5 linked regions of the Callithrix jacchus genome follow. The protein of the gene in region 2 interacts with the protein of the main gene of each other region in a pairwise test. Links are inferred from orthologs where the notes say so. Each region holds a gene or a part of one and is shown on either strand. Other genes may lie near its edges. The genes, in order: SH3BP5, SPTBN1, TRAF3IP1, TNIK and CEP63.

Region 1 (2,360 bases), on a different chromosome or scaffold from region 2:
ACCTCGATTGGCCAATGAAGGACCTTTTTCTCCACAGCATGTTTTAATAATGAAATGCAGATTAAGAGTCCACCATTATAACATTTCCACAAGACAAAGGATCCACCTGATTCTCAACTCTGAATGCACATTTGAAATCCCCTTGGGGAGCTTTTAAAAGTCTGATGCACAAGTGTACCCCCAGTTAATTAACTCTGGGGAAGAGACCTGACAGCAACACTTAAGCTTCCTAGGAGACTGCAGTGTGCAGCTGAGGCTGAGGACCATTCCTCCAGCATCACCACATCATCTTTATTTATCTGTCACTGTGTCTCCTCATTGCCCATAGCTTTAGCAGCAGCAGAAGTAGAACTCAAACCTTGGTAATCAAGGCTTAAATTACTACTGTTCTTCAAAACCTTAATTGAAAATGATTACTGGTGACCACAGCACTCCATGTTCTTCCTTATGGCAAGAGGGTGGCATAGAAGATTTAGACAATACTGGGAGTTCTTATTTGAAGTCACAGAGGAAACTTTTCTCAAGCGGTTTTTATTACACTCAATGTATTAAGACAAGTACAAAATAACCTTGTAATTAGGATACTGTATCAGTCAAAAAAGGAGGAGTCACTGTTGTATGAAGAGATTTACAAATGACTAAAATATACAGGCTGTGACAGAATTAACAATTTGAAAGAGGGTTTTTTTAGAAATGCTAAATTTTCTTAACAAAACGAGACAAAAATACAGTGCTCTAAATATGCATTACCATGAAAACATTAAAGAAAAGCAGTCTTAACACTTACTACTATTAACATAACAGACTCTGTTGCTTCTATTTAACAGCCTTTGCCAACACATGCCCACTCCCTTTCCTAGCTTTAAAGAAGTTTCCTCTAAGGAATACTAGTGCAGCATAACCCTTAAATAATTTCGTTTATTTTTAAAGTTACAACCTACAGATAAATTAACACCTTGTCAATCTAATAACAGTGGCAACCATTCTTCACATGCACTTCTCTTAGAATAAATCCCCTTAGCCGGCAGAATAAGGTTTATGCTGTAGAACCTTCTCCCCCACAGCCACAGATTCCCTTCTATGATAAGTCCCTCCTACCCTCATGCCCCCCCCATCCCCACTGGCATTCACCTTCCCCATCCCAAAAAGTGCAGCTCTTGGTAGCCTTTCTAGAAATGGTTTTAATGGGTATCTTAGCATACACGCTTTTTAAAAAGCCCCCTCTGAACACCAGAGGTGATGAAAATGAGTTGTGTTCTTGGATTTTTTTAAGCCTCCACCGGGTCAAAAATATGTGCTCTCAATACTTGAGTTTTTGCTTTGTATGTGGGTTTTCCTTATCATTTAGCTATCATGGGGTAAAAGTGGAGTGAAATCTCCATTTTCCCATTCAAAATTGAGGGTGAGAAGAGAAAGAGAAGCAAGCTGTTGGCCCCACTTTGGCTTAGCTTCCCAGCCATCTTCCCAGCTCTGGTTCTTTCATAGGAACTAGTTATTGCTTCCACAGTGCCATTACAAGGAATGTTCCACAAAGGCTGTGAACCTGGTCACAGTCTGCCTGCGACAACTCTGCTCTGAAAAACAAACCAGCTCAGGACTCTTACCCAGAACCATCTTCAGCCCTCAAGGTCACTGAAACTTCATTAGTGCAGTTTAGAGTAGACGCGTAAGATTTGGCATATATTAAATGATTATTGGCACAATGTTCTCCAGTTCCATGTATAAATGTTGATACGCACATGGGCAGGGCCCAGGATGAATCAGCCAATCTGCACCATTTTTATGTCAGCAATAATCCCATCTCTTCCTTTTGAGCGCTGTAGGGAGAGCTGCTTCATCCGGTTCTCCAAGGCCTGGCCCTCAGGGGAGGTGCTGCTGTGGCTCTTACTGCTGCCACCACCGCCACTGCTATTGCTGAGGCCCTGGTTGTTGTTGGCTTTGTCACTTGTTTTATTTTCTGCCCCTTCTGCCCTGTCTCCTATAGAAATACAAAGATTATCAAAAGTGAGTCTTGACAATTTTAAGTCACTTTGGGCTCAAACCAACTAGCTAACTCAGCCCTGTGGAATTCCCAGTGTTGCCTTCTGTGCCTATCCGGGAGGTTCTGAGTATGTAATCACTTACTGCTTTTATTCCTTGTGATGTTCTATATATTCCTTGACTTTAGAGATGAAATTTGCCATATTCACTTTATAGCTGAGAAACAAACCTTTCTACTATGTGCTTGCCAAGGAGACTGTTCTGATGTGAGACACAGGACCTAAGCCCTACTTTATAGAAGCTGAGTGGAGCCAGGAGCCTCCCCAGAACAGCACTTGGAAATAACCTCAGTGATCAACACTGACAGCACAACCAGAGAC
Region 2 (3,515 bases):
TTTCTTTTTCAGTGAACGCATTAGCATGCGGCAGTCCAAAGTGGATAAACTGTACGCTGGTCTGAAAGACCTTGCTGAAGAGAGGAGAGGCAAGCTAGATGAGAGACACAGGTTATTCCAGCTCAACCGGGAAGTAGACGACCTGGAACAGTGGATCGCTGAGAGGGAGGTGGTCGCAGGGTCCCATGAACTGGGACAGGACTATGAGCATGTCACGGCAAGTACTTCAGACAGTGCGTGAGTTGGTTGTGCAGTGAGCGATGGTGTGGAGGCCCATTTGCATTCCTTATCTGTGACCAGATAAGATGCCCTGGACTCCAATCAGAGGTCTTGGGGTTTAGTTTTTAGGTGGTGTTTCTTTTATAAGCAGGAGACTTGCATTTAGATGGGCTAACCTCTCTGTGTACCCCTTCCCCCAGTAGTTAAAGGAGGTGGAGGTAGTGCCTCACTCTGCTGCAGGGAGCAAGAAGGAAACCTGATTGCTAAGAGGTTCTCGAACTAGGATCTGTTGTTCTTAAGTCATGAGTATTATGGTTACATCTTGCTTAGAGGCAGTTTATTTCCAAAGGCTATTCATGTGATCAAGAAATAGTTCACAATGGGCTCACTGATTTCCTTACCCATCTTCGTTTCAGATGTTACAAGAACGATTCCGGGAATTTGCCCGAGATACTGGGAACATTGGGCAGGAGCGCGTGGACACGGTCAATCACATGGCAGATGAACTCATTAACTCTGGACATTCGGATGCCGCCACCATCGCTGAATGGAAGGATGGTCTCAACGAAGCCTGGGCCGACCTCCTGGAGCTCATTGACACAAGAACACAGATCCTTGCCGCTTCCTATGAACTGCACAAGTTTTACCATGATGCCAAGGAGATCTTTGGGCGTATACAGGACAAACACAAGAAACTCCCTGAGGAGCTTGGGAGAGATCAGAACACAGTGGAGACCTTACAGAGAATGCACACTACATTTGAGCATGACATCCAGGCTCTGGGCACACAGGTGGGTAGGGCAGCCACCCATGGGTGGTAGGGAGGCTTTCTCTCTACCTCAAAAGAATTGTCCCAGTTAAGCACATACATGTACCCACTTTGTAATAGTGCTTCATTTGGGAGAACTTAACAGTCCATAAAAGTCTACATTTGCCACATTTGCAAACATTAGACAAGTGTCCCCATAATTAAATAAACCTGATGCATACACAGACACAAGTGAGTCACAGGCCTCAGCGAGAGTTTTTATTATGTTAGCATATTCATCCAGAACAATTTCCAAAATAATACCTTACTATTTTTTATCAACTGGGTTCTAAGTTATATGCCTGGAAAAAGAAAAACTGGATTTCTAACATTTTAGCATGCCTGGTCCCCAGTATAAAATGACTGGCACTAAGGCTTTGTTCAAAAGATATTTGACAAAGTAGTAACAATATAGCAAAATCTGGTGTAGTCACTCTCTAGTTTCCTTTCTGATCTCTGCAGTTTCTTATTTCGTCTTAGGCCTTTTAGTTGAAAAACAAATTGTATTTTTTTTCTTCTAAGTTTCATGGTACTAGAGAAGAAGCCAGTTTTATTAAAGATGTTATCCGTGGTGATGTCAGGGGTTTTGTTCTTGTTGTTAAGAGTATACTGAGTATCTAGATTATCTCAGCTTTTTCTGTTAAAAGCCAAGTAGTAAATATTTTCAGCTTATGAGACTCACACTCTCCGTTGCAGCTCTGCCCTCTGCCATTGTAGCATAAAGCAGATATAGACAGTGAGAAAATGAATGAGCTAGCTGTGTTCCTGTAAATCTTTACTTACAGAAACAGGCCGCTCATATACAGCCTTGGGCTGACCCAGTCTACTGCCTCAGCCTCTAGATGGCTTTGGTATACTTTGGGATTTGTTCTGTGAAGGGACCACCTTGGTTGTTGTTCTCTCTCACTTCTTCTTAATTCTTTTTTTTTTTTTTAAATTTTTTATTGCATTTTAGGTTTTGGGGTACATGAGCAGAATTCCTCTTAATTCCTAATTCCTGTCACTGTGACTGCAAGTTTAATTTACCTCTCTAAGCTTTGGTTCCCTAATAGTTTAGGGATTGAGATGCAAAATAATATAACATAATGAGATTTCTGTAAATGTTTTCTAATTATTATGGTATTACAAAAGTTTAGGAAAACATGGGACACCTAGAGACAGAATTAGAAAACACCTTAGCAGCGTAGGTCTTTCCTTTGCACCTGTAAAGTCATTTACTTTTAGAACTGAAAGACAGTTGAGACATAGTGGAGTTGCGGTCTCATTTTTTCATTAAATCCCTTCACCTCCTTAGACTTAGAGATGAGGAAGCCCAAGAAGGGTCTTGGAACATGCAGGGTGGGAATCTAGTCCTTCGAGTCTGACAGTCTGCACCTCACCACACCCACTGGGCTATGATGTTTATAGCTGTAAAAGGGATGTGTGTCTTACTGCAGGTATTGACCTGATCTGGGTTTATTTTCACAGAGTAACAGAGCAGGGAAGGCTGTTTATGCAGGCTCCCAGGAGCACGTGGTACTTCCCCTTTGGTTGTTTCCTTTTGTGCCAGTTTGACCTGCCACTGTCTCCATTCTGCACAGGAGCAGTGGGAGTGACACATAGCACTGATGAAGATCTTGAGTGTTTATACAAAGCAATAGTTAATATTTATGGAAATTTTCACTTGTTATCCTCTTCTACTTTACGTTTTATTGGGAGAAGAAATTTATAGAAAACAACCAGACACACGGAAACAGGTGTTTTAAAAAATGTGATTCGTTGTGTAGGAAAATTAGCTTTTCACATTATTTCCTAGGAATTTGCTCATTATAATTCAAGTTAAACCTGGGCATAATCAAAGAATATTTCCAAAAGTCACTTGGGATATTAAAATCAAATTACAATGGAAACCAAAGCCCACTGGTTCTTCTTTGCATCTTTTGCAGAAACTACTTTTTTTTTTTAACCTATTGTCACCTGAAGTCCTTCTGTGCAATCAGGAATCAGTAATCCACCTCCCTACAAGCCCTAGTGCTGTCTGTCCCCACCCCCTTTTACTCCACTTAGCATTTCTCCAAACACTACTCTCACAGACATCTAAAAGCTCTCATCATCCAGGACAGTTATCTGCAGACTTCTTTGATCATGCAGCTTTATCAGTAAATGATGATTGGGTGTCCATTCCCCTCTATGTATATATCTTTAATTAGACATTGTGCACAAGTGTGGCACTAGTAATGTTACGTACTTTATATAAGACATGTAAGAGGAGAAAATTTATAAAATTAGCTGCACTTATCAGCTTCAGTTATAAAGACATACACTGTCCCCCAAAAAAGGTAAGAGTGTATTCTTATTTTTGTTTTTACAGAGGAAGAATATTATGCACATTGTCTGCACTGTTTATTCCACTTAATCATCTTGGTGTGTTTTTCATGTTGACTACATAGAAGCCCTTCCTCATTCGTTTTCATGACTACATAGGAGCCTCCTGCTGGATGAACCATCA
Region 3 (3,981 bases), on a different chromosome or scaffold from region 2:
GGCACAGAGGCTCACACCTGTAATCCCAGCACTTTGGGAGGCCAAGGTGGGTGGATCACTTGAGGTCAGGGGTTCAAGATCAACCTGGCCAATGTGGCAAAACCCCATCTCTACTAAAAATACAAAAGTTAACACTGGGTATAGTGGCATGTGCCTGTAGTCCCAGCTACTCGGGAGGCTGAGACAGGAGAATAATTTGAACCCAGGAGGTGGAGGTTGCAGTGAGTCGAGATCGTGCCACTGCACTCCAGCCTGGGTGACAGAGCAAGACTCCCTCTAAAAAAAAAAAAAAATTGTGAGCAATAACTGTAAGTGACAAGAGACATTAATATCACAGGATCCACACTTAGCTTAATGAAAGGGATGGTTAGTTTAGCTGTAGCTTAAATACTAATATGGTGATTTGAGTATAATATTTAGGATAATAAAGCATTTTCATAAGACCCTTTCCACCTATTATCTCAAAATGCTTTCCAATATGTCAGTCATTCTAGCCTCTTTATCAAGTAGGTGACAATTCCTGTATTGATCTTTACACAAGAAGAAAAACGAACTTTGGCATAAATGAGGAAGTCTCTGGGAGTAGAGCAGACCAGTCATTCCTAATTGGGAACACACAACTAGTCCCACACCCTAGCCACCTGGCCAGGAAGGCGATCCTTTTATTTATTTATTTATTTTTTTGAGACAGGGTCTTACTCTGTCACACCGGCTGGAGTGCACTGGTGCAATCACAGCTCACTGCAGCCTCAACCTCCTGAGCTCAAGCGATTCTCCCTACTCAGCTTCCTGAGTAGCTGGGATTACAGGTGCACCACGACACTCGGCTAATTTTTGTATTCTTCGTAGAGCTGGAGTTTTGCCATGTTGGCCAGGCTGGTCTTGAACTCCTGGGCCGAAGTGATCTGCCTACTGTGGCCTTCCAGAGTGCTGGGATTGCAGGTGTGAGCCGCCCCCGGGTGGCCCTTTCCCACGAGGATGCCTCTGACCAGCTATGCAGTAGTGACTGGACCGTCACCAAGAGCTGAGCTGCACCACTACCCCACAAGGATAAGACACACTCCCTGCACCTCACTCCTAGGGCTCTGCATTTCAGTGGGGCAGGCAGGACTGGGAGAAGATTAAAGGTTTTGGCAGCCACAGCTGTGGTGGGTTGGGCTCACATTGGCTCTTACTTGTTTCCTCTGGGGCAGAGGACGTAGGCCCTGCCTACTTCACAGGAGTGACATGTGCACTGTCCTGCTCCTACAAGCCTATCCACACGGCAGGTCCCCTCCCCACACACTGCCCAGGACAAGCTGTAAGTGCTGCACCAGTTGGGAGGACATAACCAGGGCTGGCGGTGCCCTGGGATGTGGGTGGATTCAAGAGCATTTTTAAGCACTGTCTTAACACAGAGGCACAGGCTCCAGGAGAGCGTACACTGGAAGCCAAGGTAGGAGGGCAGAACCAGAAGAGCGATGTCTGTGTAAGAATACGGCACCCAACCTGTAGAAAAGAGTGAGAACTGGAGCTTAAGGCCCATCACCAGGTTAGCTCATGAGCCCCCGGAAGTCTCCAAGTCCGACCTGAATCCTCAATCCCAGAACACACCTCTGAGTTCCCATGTGCCCTTGGGTGCACCCTGCAAATGGGTGCTGCACCCCCTGCAGTGACGCTCCTGAGAGTTACCAGGGAGTTACCCGGAGCCGTGACAGGTCCCACGCAACAGGGGATGTTTGCTGTGAATTTCTATGTACCTGATCCAGGGCAGATCACCAGAGCCATGCTGACAAGCAGGGTCTCCGTCACTAAGGAGCACGCCACCCGCAAGCGGGGAAAAGCCACACAGACCACCAATCTTCAATTTAGGGCAGGCTATGCGGCTCTGTTACAGCTGTTCCTACCAAGTCTCCCCACAACCACCTCCACTAAATTCACCCACAGACATTTATCAAGCACCCAAAATAGGGTATGGAGGGCAGCTTTGAGGCAGGAGAGTTGTACAAAAAATATTATTTCCATTGTCCCAGGATTTAGGGAGCGCCTTCCATGTGTTACATGCTCCAGCGCAAGCGAGAGGGGTTCCCCAGGGTTACACAAGGAGGGAGCAGAATGGAAGATGCGCTCTAAAGAGATACACGGACAGGCAGGGAAGAAGTTAAGAATGCTCCCCGAGGGCCCGGAGCCTCCCTGTAAGCGGCCGGGAGCGGGGGAAGGGGTCAGACGTCCGCGAGGAGGGCGCCGCGGAATTGGGCCTACAGGCCGGGCTCCGGGGCAGGGGCTGCACAGAGCTCTGGCCCCGACCCCGGGACTGACTGCAGCCCCCTAACCGCACCCCGCGCCCGGCCCTGACCCGGTCCCCGACCTGCACCCCGACCCCGGCCCACACCGGGTCCACACTCGGCCCTGACCTGGTCCCCTACCTGCACCTCGAGCCCGGCCCGGGCCCTGACCCCGGCCCAGCCCCGGCCCCCGACCCTGGCTAACACCCGGCGCCCACCGGGACCCCGACCCGCCCCTGGCCCGGCGCGGCCCCCGGCGCCCACCTCGGTGATGATGTCGTGCAGGTAGCGGAACGGGGGCTTGCTCAGCAGCTTCTCCGTCAGCGGCGGCCTCCGGATCACCTTCCCCAGCGCCTCCTGCGTCCGCCTCACCACCGCCGAATTCATGGCAGCCTCCGCTGCCCACGCCCCTCAGCCGACCCGGCCGAGCCTAAGCCCGGGTCCCTGGCCGCCGCCTGCCCCGCCGCCGTCGCCCGCCCCGCAGCCACAGCCCGGTCCCGCCAGGACGCGCCGCTACGGTTTCCATCCCACAGTGCACCGGAGCCCGCCACGGCGCCTGCGCGGAAGCCGCAAGGCGTTCGGTCGCTAGGGCTGCGCGGCCTTAGCAACGGACGCGCCGCGGCGCCCCATCCGCGTCTACCGTCCTGCGCCGGCGCAAACAAGAGGGGGATTCCGCCGGAGGGGGGGGGGCGGGGGGGCGTCCGCGCGTGCGCAGACGAGGGGGGCGCGGCGGGGCGGGGGAAGGTGGTCCGGGGTCCCGCGCCTCGCCCCTCCAATGCGGAGCGACGGCCTCGCGAAGTGGGTGTTGGCTCGCCTTAGAGGCCACCGCCTGAGGACTGATGCACAGCGGGGTAAACCAAGATCTGGGCCGCCTGCTTCCCAAATCTCAAGGGCTTTCGCGGGCACTGGTTCATCGGAGGGGATGGAGCTGTTATCCCAAAACACACGGAATGGAAAATAGACTGTCCTGGCCGGGCGCGGTGGCTCACGCCTGTAATCCCAGCACTTTGGGAGGCCCAGGCGGGCGGATCAGTAGGTCAAGAGATCGAGACCATCCTGGCCAACATGGTGAAACCCCGTCTCTACTGAAAATACAAAAATCAGCCGGTCGTGGTGGTGTGTGCCTGTAACCCCAACTACTTGGAAGGCTGAGGAATCGCTTGAACCCCGGGGGCCAGAGACTGCAGTGAGCCGAAGTCGCGCCACCGCACCCCAGCCTGGGCAACACAGCAAAACTCTGTCTTTAAAAACAAACAAACAAAAAGTATAAAATTCTAACTTGACTGGGTTTTGTTTTTTTTTTTCCGTACTTTAAGGATGTTACCCCATTGACTTCTGGCTTGCATAGGTTCAGAATAAAAATCTTCCATACAGCCAGGCGTTGTGGCTCACGCCTGTAATCCCAGCACCTTGGGAAGCCGAGGTGGGCACCTGAGGTCACGAGTTCAAGACCAGCCTGACCAACATGGAGAAACCCCGTCTGTACTAAAAATATAAAATTAGCCGGGTGGGCATGGTGGCGCATGCCTGCAGTACCAGCTACTCGGGAGGCTGAGCCAGGAGAATCACTTGAACCTGGGAGACGGAGGTTGCAATCAGCCGAGATCACTATTACACTCTAGCCTGGGCAACAAGAGTGAAACTCCGTCTCAAAGAAAAAAAGTCTTCTGTAATTCTTTGTTCTGTCTATTGTGTTTCTGGCAGCCTTCAAGATTTT
Region 4 (4,119 bases), on a different chromosome or scaffold from region 2:
ATGAGACTTCTCGTCTAGATGAGCCCCCCTCTCCGAATGTGGGAAGGTAGAGATGATCTGCCCTCTGATTTGTGGAGATTACCTATGTGGCCTTTGGACCCACTCCAGCAGGCACACCTCACCCACAAGGCTGGTCAAAGACCCTGGCCCTCCGAGATATAACTGTCTCCACATCTTCTAGCCAGCAGTTCCTGGTCCCCCAAACTAGCTGTTGCCCTCTCTGTTTCCACACCTCCCAGCAGGCAGAAAAACAGAGGCAGCCCAGGCCACAAAGAACAATTTCAGTGAATCGTGCAAAGATGTCTTTTCAAAATACAGATCATAAGAACACACATCCCAAGTGCGAACCGCACTTGTCCACCCAGTGGGCCCTCACCGGTTGCTGCTGTACCTGCAGGCTCCGTGTTTGGTATCTCAGAAAACCTTCCCCAGGAAAAAGCCCACAAGGGACATGCCCTGGCCAAACTTAAAATCGCATCAGACTGCTTTCCAATAGAGGAGCAAGGTCGAGATTCCGGCCCAGGGAAATCACTGCAAGCCCTGTGCATTATTCAGACCCCGTCCCCCTTTGCCACTGTCCCCCCCAACCCCCCACCGATTCGCAGCACCCCACCCCCAGTCTGGGCCATCCATCCACCTGATTAACCCGCCCGCAGCAACTCCCAGCGCAGAAAGTAGGGCAAATGAACACACACAGTCGGTAAAGCAGGAAGCCACAGACCTGGCCAAAGCACCCACCCTGTTACCAACCCCACCCCGCTGCGCAGGGGGCAGCCAGTTCCTGATGTGGCATTTCGACTCCAGGGAAATAGACAGCTTCCTGTAATAATGCATGAATGAGCTCTGGCTGCCCAACTATCAGAACAGCCCATTGCAAACGGCAGCTGTTTCTTCTCAACTCATTACCTGCCTTGCTGAAACCTCGCCTCTTGGCCCCACAGATTACGACGAGGAGAGAAAGGGTTATTAAAAGACAGGCGAAAGAAAGCTTTAATTAAGGAGACCAAAGAGAAAGTACCACTTTGACCACAAAGGTAGCTCTTTAAAATATCGGTGCTGAAAGAGGCAATGTCAGAAGTACTATGAATCCAGGTAAATGGCCCCAAGATCCAGCATCAATCTAACAATGTATTCCTCAGGAGGGCGTGTGAACTTCCATGCTTCATCCATCCCGGTGTCGCCCTGTGGAGAGCCAACATCAATTCCTTCTCACCCACCCTCCATACATCAAGTCTATGCACTCGCTATTTTTTAAATTTAATTTTTGATTCGGGAGAGGAAGAAGCCGGCCTTAAATTGGTGCCCAATCCTTCTCAGACACCCGCTGCTGCCACCATCCCCACCCCTCACCCCCTTCCCGGCAGGCAGTATCTAATTAAAATGGCAAGAAAGCTCTGCCCCCTTCCCCGAAGGAGTGTGTTGGGATCGAGAGTTGGGGGTGGGGAAGCGTCGAGGCAGCACTGGGATTCCTGGTATTCTGATCTCAAAACAACAGCAAAATGGATTCTATATCAGTGATGTCTTAGTCAATACAGTGAAACGGCGTCTGAGGTAATTCACGTGAAGGTAAACGCAAACCAGTGGGGCTGGGGGAGGGAGGTGCTCTACAAAGGACTGGCCACAGACACGGGGAAACCACACACACACACATACACACACACACACACACGCACACGCACACACACTCCAGGGAGTTCCGGTCTGATTGAGGAAAAGCAGAAAACACATCCCTTTCACCTGCGTTAAGTTCAGCCATAAAACTGAAACATTACAGCCACGAAGTCAGAAAGCACAGGCAGGGCTGAGTTAAAGCCATAAATAAAGGTGAGTGGCAGACTGGCATTTGAGGGAGCGCTGAGAGGGCGCCGGGCGCGGGAGGCAGAAAAGGGGGAGGGGGAGGCAGCTGCCATCTACAAGACCAGCATAGCAATAACTGCCCCTCGGAGCGGAAGGTTCGGCTCCCCGGGGAGAGCCAGCCTCTCAGTGTCTTCTTGCAGGTAGCTGGAAAACGTGAGGGGCCAGTGCCTTTCTTCACGCTGGCATTCTTTTTGCAGAAGGGACAGTCGGGTCTCGCGCCTTGGCACCAGACAACTGCCCGGGGCGTGTACACACACACACACACACACACACGCCTTTCATTTTAATGCTCTTACACCGGTCTACGATGAAACTGGCATAAGCTCCACGAGCCCTCGGGGGCGCCTCGGCCACTGCCAAAGGAAGACTGCACCGCACAGCCCTTGCCGTAGGGACTCAGCCGGGAGCACCCCACAGCCCCGAATCAAAACGCAAATCCCGGTTCCCTCCCCGTCGCATTCTCCCGCTGCCGCCCAGCAGCCCCAGCCCCGGCCCCAGCCCCCAGTCCACGCACCGAGTTCATTCACCCTGACCCAAACCCCTGGAAAGAAACCAGAAAACATGTCCTACTCACCCTCAGAGCCGAGAGATCTATTTCATCCAGGCTTCGAGCCGGGGAGTCGCTCGCCATGTCTACTTCTTCGCTGGAGAAATGGACCAAAACCACCCCGAAGCTGCTCCCTTGGAAATTCCACCTTGGTCTATTTCACTCGCGTCCTCATGCGGGTGCCGCGCCAGAGGCCCCGGGCCCAGCCTCCCCCGCCCACCCCAGCCCCGCAGCGCCGGATCTCGGTCCTCCGCGCGTGGGTCCGCCGGGTCCGGGAGCCCAACCTGCGCGGATCTCCAAGCCCGGAGCGGCGGTGCGTGTGGGCTGAGCGCCCCGATCGGCTAAGGGCGCTGGGGCTGCGTGGGTGTATTTAAATGGGACATGCTTCTTTGCTTGTGCGTGGATGGCGGCTGCATTGGCTGTTATAATGAGACACATCAACTCCTCCACTCCGCGGGGGGAGGGTGGGGGTGGAGAACCACACAGAACTGTCTATCACCGCTTCCTGGGAGGAGTGAAGGGGTGGGGGGAGGCGGAGGAGGCGTGGTCTAGGACTGGGGAGCGGCAGGCCGCGCTTCCTGACCCGGTCCCTCTGCACCAGCGTGGAGGGGGGAGGGGCGCGCACCCTTTCCGCCCAGGCTTTTGCGGGCTCCGCGGGGCGAAGGCGAAGGGCCGTTCCTGAACCTTGACTTGCTTATCACGGGGACCCAAGCTCTATTTCTCTGTGGCCAATTCGTGCACTGCAGCAAAATGGCCCTTCAATCGCATCCTGGGGTTTCTCCGCGAGGTTCAAATGCACTTGCTCTGAGAAAGAGCCGGAGGGAAAAAAAGCAACACCCTCCCTTCCCCATTAATTATTTGTGGGGCTGGAGTTACGCGGGCTGGTGCAAACGGTGCATATAAGGACTTGTGTGGAAGGAAGGGGATCCGCCTCCAGGCGCGGAGAGAGTGGGGGAGATGCGTACACGCACAGTGCACCCAGCCGGGCGCTTCGGCAATTTGCAGCTGCGGCGGGGTCGGGTCCACCCGCGGTCCCCGGAATGCCGACGGCTGGTCCCGGGCGCCGGTCACTCGCCGACTCGGGGTTGGGAAGATTTGCCAGATGCGGGAAAGATGGGAGATCTGAGCGCTCTCTTGGCATCGCCACACCCAGGACCTGCTCGTGTCGCAATTCCCCACGGAAACAACCGAGTTGAAACGAGAAGCTTGTTCTCTGGGTGCAGTAGCTAGAAGGCTTCAGGTAACTCCAAAGCCAACACTGGGTGAGGCAACGCCCACCGCCTCGGCACTCGGCGTTTCTTCCCGGCTGGTTTGCGAGGCAGACCTGCCCAGATTGACAGAGAAAGTTTGGTTAGCGGATAAGAAGTAACGCGGAAGATGTGTACGTGAGAGCGACTTCACTTCACCCACTTTCTCCTGTGAAGGTTGGATGTTTTACAGTGGCATATATGACCTTGCTTCTGTAATCAAGAGTGGGAAGTCACTTCCCCCAATCCCTGCGCAGCCCTTCTTCTCCCGCCTTAGCCACGCAAAATACATAGAAAGAAAACACTGAAACTGAACTTTTCCCCAAATACAGCAGTAGCTTTGAAAGCATTCTTTGCTCCTCTGTTAACAGCAGAATGTTCTTCTGACCCGTGTCCTGATGGTTTCCTAATCACGCAGTATGAATATCAGCTTCAAAATAAGGCTTATGAATGAATGAGTGAAAGCCA
Region 5 (4,276 bases), on a different chromosome or scaffold from region 2:
ATACTGGACAGTGCAATTCTACATCTAACTACTGGTTTAGAGCAGTGGTCCTCAACCTTTTTGGCACCAGGGGCCTGTTTCATGAAGAATTTTTCCACCGACAGGGTGAAAATAACATATTTTGTCTTTTTTTTTTTTGTGAAAATTCATATGAAATGTTGTTTGGGGGAAATGGCCAAACCACTTCTTGACTAATATGAATAATACACATGGACATGGTTAGGGACATGGTTTCAGGATGAAACTGTTCCACCTCAGAGCATTAGGCATTAGTTAGTGATTCTTTTTTTTTTTTTTTGGAGACAGAGTTTCGCTCTTGTTACCCAGGCTGGAGTACAATGGCGCGATCTCGGCTCACCACAACCTCCGCCTCCTGGGTTCAGGCAATTCTCCTGCCTCAGCCTCCTGAGTAGCTGGGATTACAGGCACGCACCACCATGCCCAGCTAATTTTTTTGTGTGTGTTTTTAGTAGAGACGGGGTTTCACCATGTTGACCAGGATGGTCTCGATGATCTCTTGACCTCGTGATCCACCCGCCTCAGCCTCCCAATAGTTAGTGATTCTTATAAGGAGCGTGCAACCTAGATTCCTCGCCTGCGTAATTCACAATAGGGGTGTGCTTCTAGGAGAATCTAACCTCATGGCTGATCTGACAGGAGGCAGGGCTCAGGTGGTAGGTGATGCTCACTCTCCTGCCACTCACCTCCTGCTCTATAGCCAGGTTCTTAACAGGCCACGGACCGTAGTGCTCTGCGGCCCCGGGGTCGGGAAACCCTGGTTTAGAGGACATAAAGGCAACACAGATACGTGTTAAAAGATACTGTGCAATGCAATCTGCTAAATTTAGAACTGCAAGGAAAAATAAGGGCCAGTCCTATAGCTATAGCTATGTGGGAACTGTTATTGATTAAAAAATGTCAAATGTGTATCACCCAAAGGTAACAGGCAGACGTGGGATTTTGGTTCAAACAAGCTAACTGTAAGAAGACATTTAGGAGAGAGTTGAAGAATTCGGAATCTAACTAGATATTGACATTAGGGAATTTTTATTAATTTGTATACGTTTAATGACAGTATTGTGGCTTTGTAAAACTGAAAAAAACCTAGCTGGGGGGGGGCTAAAATAACATAGAGATCAGAGATTCAGTTCCTGAAACCTTATGTCAATGTTGGCTTTAGCTGAATTTCAAGTCAAGTAGACATTTTTTGAAAGCAGGAAGCTATGACAGAGTCGACTACTGATGCTGTCACCATCTGCCAGCACAACATAAATGAGAACAGAAAAAACTAAGAAAAGGTCTTTCACCTTTTAACGAGAGGAAATGGCATCAGTACAATCAACATTAATTTTTACAGCTTTTAGATTTGAATCTACATATATTTTAAAAGGCAGTGCGCTTGTTTATAAATCTCTACCTCATTTTAATTTCAGAGCCTTTTTTTACTACCTGATCACTGATAACTACAGTCAAAAGGCAAGATCGATCTACAAATCATACTGCATTCCAAATAATATACACACTTTAGTATATCATTAAGCTACAACTAACAGAAATCTAATTAATGATCCTTATGATTTCTTCTTGTCTAATAAAAGCTAACACATGAGGAACCGTATAAATACGCGTTCCTACCCTACAATACTGCTTCTTCAAAGGAAAAAATTCTTTTAATCAGTTTAATCGGACATAAGGCTCAGGGAAAACTATTTTATGCATATTAGTGTACGGTGCTGAAAGTATAAAAGATGACTAGTATCTGACATCGCACTCATCTTCCTGATGTCGTAAGGGACATAAGAAAAACCACATTATAAGCCTAGATGTACTGTCTTCAAGTGAATGAGCAGGTCCCCTGTGAGATGAATGAAGTAGTCCCAACAGCGTTAGCTACACAGCAGCCCCGGCAGGGAGGCGGCGCTGGGGTACCTGCGCTGAAAGGGATGGTGGGTCCGCCGGGCAAAGTGAGTCCTGGCCGCAGCACGCCGGCCCCCCTGGCCACCCTCCGAGGTGACCCCCACCGCCCGGTCTCCGCGGAAGGGCTGACCACCTGGCAGAGCCGAACCCGCGCGCCGGACGGCGCCATGCCCGACAGCGCCAAGCCCGACTCCGCTGGTCTGCGTGGCGCAGCAGGTAAGGTCGAGGGGCGGGTCTCGGAGGCTGACCCGAGCCGGCTGGGACGCGCCTGGTGACTCGCAGGCTGTGGCGGGAACCAGCCGCAAGCTATGAGGCCACGAAGCCAGGGTCACCACGGCAGCATGGGCCGCCTCCAGACCAGGGCACGCCCGCCCCTTGCCCGTCCGACGTGCGCACAAGCGGTTACAAAGCTGCGACAAGCGCGCCCCCGAACTTTTCCCGCCGTTACCTCAGGCCGGCGCAGCGCACGCGCGCCACCGCCGAGCATACTACCAGCCTCTGTCGGCGCGTTCGTCCCGCCCACTGCCCCCACACTTTTAATTGAAACTCTCCTTCAGACTTCCCCGGCCCGCAAGCAAATGGACTCACCCACATCCGGGAATCCGAGGGAAGAGCGTGGGGACTAGTGATGCTGAGGGCGTGGCCGGAGGAAGCGCCAGCTGCTGTGTGCTGGATGCTGGTAAGGGTTTCCAGCGACCCTGGTCTAGGTCTTGGGGGCGCAGAAATGCGTTCGTTTCTCAGTGTCGGACTTTCCCGTATTCCCATCGGCTGAGGTCGTCACTTTAAACTCATAACTATTTCCCTTACTGCACGTTGTGTCGGGAGGAAAGGGAATTGGGTGGCGCCTCCAGACTTCCCCATCCGCGCTTCCACGTTTGGCACCTCCTGCCTTAGGCCGGAAGCCGCAGCTGACGGGCGGCTTCACGTACGGCGCTGACGGTGGTGGCCTGCGAGGCTCATTTCTAGCGAGGAACAAGGCTTTCCAGCCTTGACTTCAATAAATACATGTTTACGAAGCTATATATATATAATACATAGAGATTGTTAAGACATTCTTCTGTCCTGGGAAACGCTGGCACCGCGTGTCTGGAAAGAAATACATCTGGGCTGTGTGACAAACTCCCCAGTTGGTGCCCTGCTGTGTGCTCAGGGAACTGTGCGATCCTTGGAGGGGTAGGTACTAGGACCGCGCTCAGCCTGGGGTTTGGAGGCGGCCTCCTACAGGAAGCTCCCTGGGACCTAAGATTTTTAGAGGTTCACTGGAATAAAAAGGAAGAGAAAAAAAGAACATTGCAAGCATTGGGACTGTAACGTAAGAAAAGTTTGTTCAGGAAACAGTGGTCGTGCTGTGTGACGAGTACTTGGGACGGTGACTGTGCCCTGGGCATTGATTGTCTTGATGCTTCCGATCCTTCCGGTCCCTTATGAGTGAAGGCACCTTTGCATCTAACCCTGGAAATGGGATGTTGATCTTCAAGAGCTGACGCCTGCTTTAATCTTGAAAGGAAGAGTAGCATTAGTGATGTGGAAAAGGGGATTTTAATTGCCAAGGCTGGAAAATGTGACATGGTTGGAGGTGTTTGGTGAAGGGACAGGTGACAAAGATTGAGGCCAAACTGTGGAAAGATCTAAGAAATCATGGGTAAAAAATGTACCCTTAACAGTTGGAGACAATAATACCTGAGCAGTTATCACAAAGCTGACCTAGCTTGTTTAGTAGATTAAGTTAGGACAAGAAACAGGAGTTCAAGGATAGAAGGCCTATGAAGCTCAAGTGATTTGAGAAAATTGTATTAAAAGGTGGAAAATCTGTGTGGGCCTGGGGAAATGTTTGGATCAGCTGAGGAAAGTGAGAAGGGTATCCCAGGGGACAGAGCAGCAAGGACGAAGGAGTAGCAGCACAAAAGTGGGGAGCTCTTGTAAGACGGGGACTACGAAAGTATAACCAAAACTTCGTCTTGCTTTGAGTTATCCACTGGGTAGTACTGGGTTAATTATTGAGTACTGGATTAATTAAGACCTCACCTGGCTCACCGGTGATAGAAGTAGCAAGACACATTTTGCTTAACTTTTGCCCAGATCCTTATCATGGGGGTAAGAACCCTTGCCCATACCAATCTGTGTATAATTTTTGCCAAGGAGTAGGAATACCTTGCAGTTACCCTATGGGGGACGTCTGTGAGCCATTTTTACAAAAGCTTCCACCTGCTTTGGCCCAAACCTCAGCATTCCTAAGCACAGGAGCTCATGAACATACTGAGATGACACTGAGGTGGAGTATACGAAGGGACCAACTACAGACCAGAGTTGTACAAATCCTCAAGGCAAGGCAATGTCTGAAGTTGAGCTTGTAAAGGAA

What was found.
Region 1: the proteins of SPTBN1 (region 2) and SH3BP5 interact in a two-hybrid assay, tested with the Homo sapiens proteins (2 studies listed by BioGRID and IntAct). The link is inferred for Callithrix jacchus from reciprocal best matches to the Homo sapiens genes SPTBN1 and SH3BP5.
Region 3: the proteins of SPTBN1 (region 2) and TRAF3IP1 interact in a two-hybrid assay, tested with the Homo sapiens proteins (2 studies listed by BioGRID and IntAct). The link is inferred for Callithrix jacchus from reciprocal best matches to the Homo sapiens genes SPTBN1 and TRAF3IP1.
Region 4: the proteins of SPTBN1 (region 2) and TNIK interact in a two-hybrid assay, tested with the Homo sapiens proteins (2 studies listed by BioGRID and IntAct). The link is inferred for Callithrix jacchus from reciprocal best matches to the Homo sapiens genes SPTBN1 and TNIK.
Region 5: the proteins of SPTBN1 (region 2) and CEP63 interact in a two-hybrid assay, tested with the Homo sapiens proteins (2 studies listed by BioGRID and IntAct). The link is inferred for Callithrix jacchus from reciprocal best matches to the Homo sapiens genes SPTBN1 and CEP63.

Annotation. Positions count from the first base shown.
Region 1 is NC_133518.1:54,070,074-54,072,433, forward strand, and holds the end of SH3BP5 (SH3 domain-binding protein 5), read right to left. Parts: intron 1,979-2,360; coding exon 1,761-1,978; 3' UTR 516-1,760; downstream 1-515. UniProt on the Homo sapiens protein: Functions as a guanine nucleotide exchange factor (GEF) with specificity for RAB11A and RAB25. Inhibits the auto- and transphosphorylation activity of BTK. Plays a negative regulatory role in BTK-related cytoplasmic signaling in B-cells.
Region 2 is NC_133515.1:59,861,402-59,864,916, reverse strand, and holds part of SPTBN1 (spectrin beta chain, non-erythrocytic 1), read left to right. Parts: intron 1-12; coding exon 13-217; intron 218-635; coding exon 636-1,010; intron 1,011-3,515. UniProt on the Homo sapiens protein: Fodrin, which seems to be involved in secretion, interacts with calmodulin in a calcium-dependent manner and is thus candidate for the calcium-dependent movement of the cytoskeleton at the membrane.
Region 3 is NC_133507.1:159,642,330-159,646,310, reverse strand, and holds the start of TRAF3IP1 (TRAF3-interacting protein 1), read right to left. Parts: upstream 2,804-3,981; 5' UTR 2,652-2,803; coding exon 2,529-2,651; intron 1-2,528.
Region 4 is NC_133518.1:15,589,149-15,593,267, reverse strand, and holds the start of TNIK (TRAF2 and NCK-interacting protein kinase), read right to left. Parts: upstream 2,804-4,119; 5' UTR 2,489-2,803; coding exon 2,432-2,488; intron 2,298-2,431; exon of another isoform or gene 2,154-2,297; intron 1-2,153. UniProt on the Homo sapiens protein: Serine/threonine kinase that acts as an essential activator of the Wnt signaling pathway. Recruited to promoters of Wnt target genes and required to activate their expression. May act by phosphorylating TCF4/TCF7L2.
Region 5 is NC_133518.1:49,699,457-49,703,732, forward strand, and holds the start of CEP63 (centrosomal protein of 63 kDa), read right to left. Parts: upstream 2,810-4,276; 5' UTR 2,683-2,809; coding exon 2,366-2,682; intron 2,324-2,365; exon of another isoform or gene 2,087-2,323; coding exon of another isoform or gene 1,930-2,086; intron 776-1,929; coding exon of another isoform or gene 705-775; intron 1-704. UniProt on the Homo sapiens protein: Required for normal spindle assembly.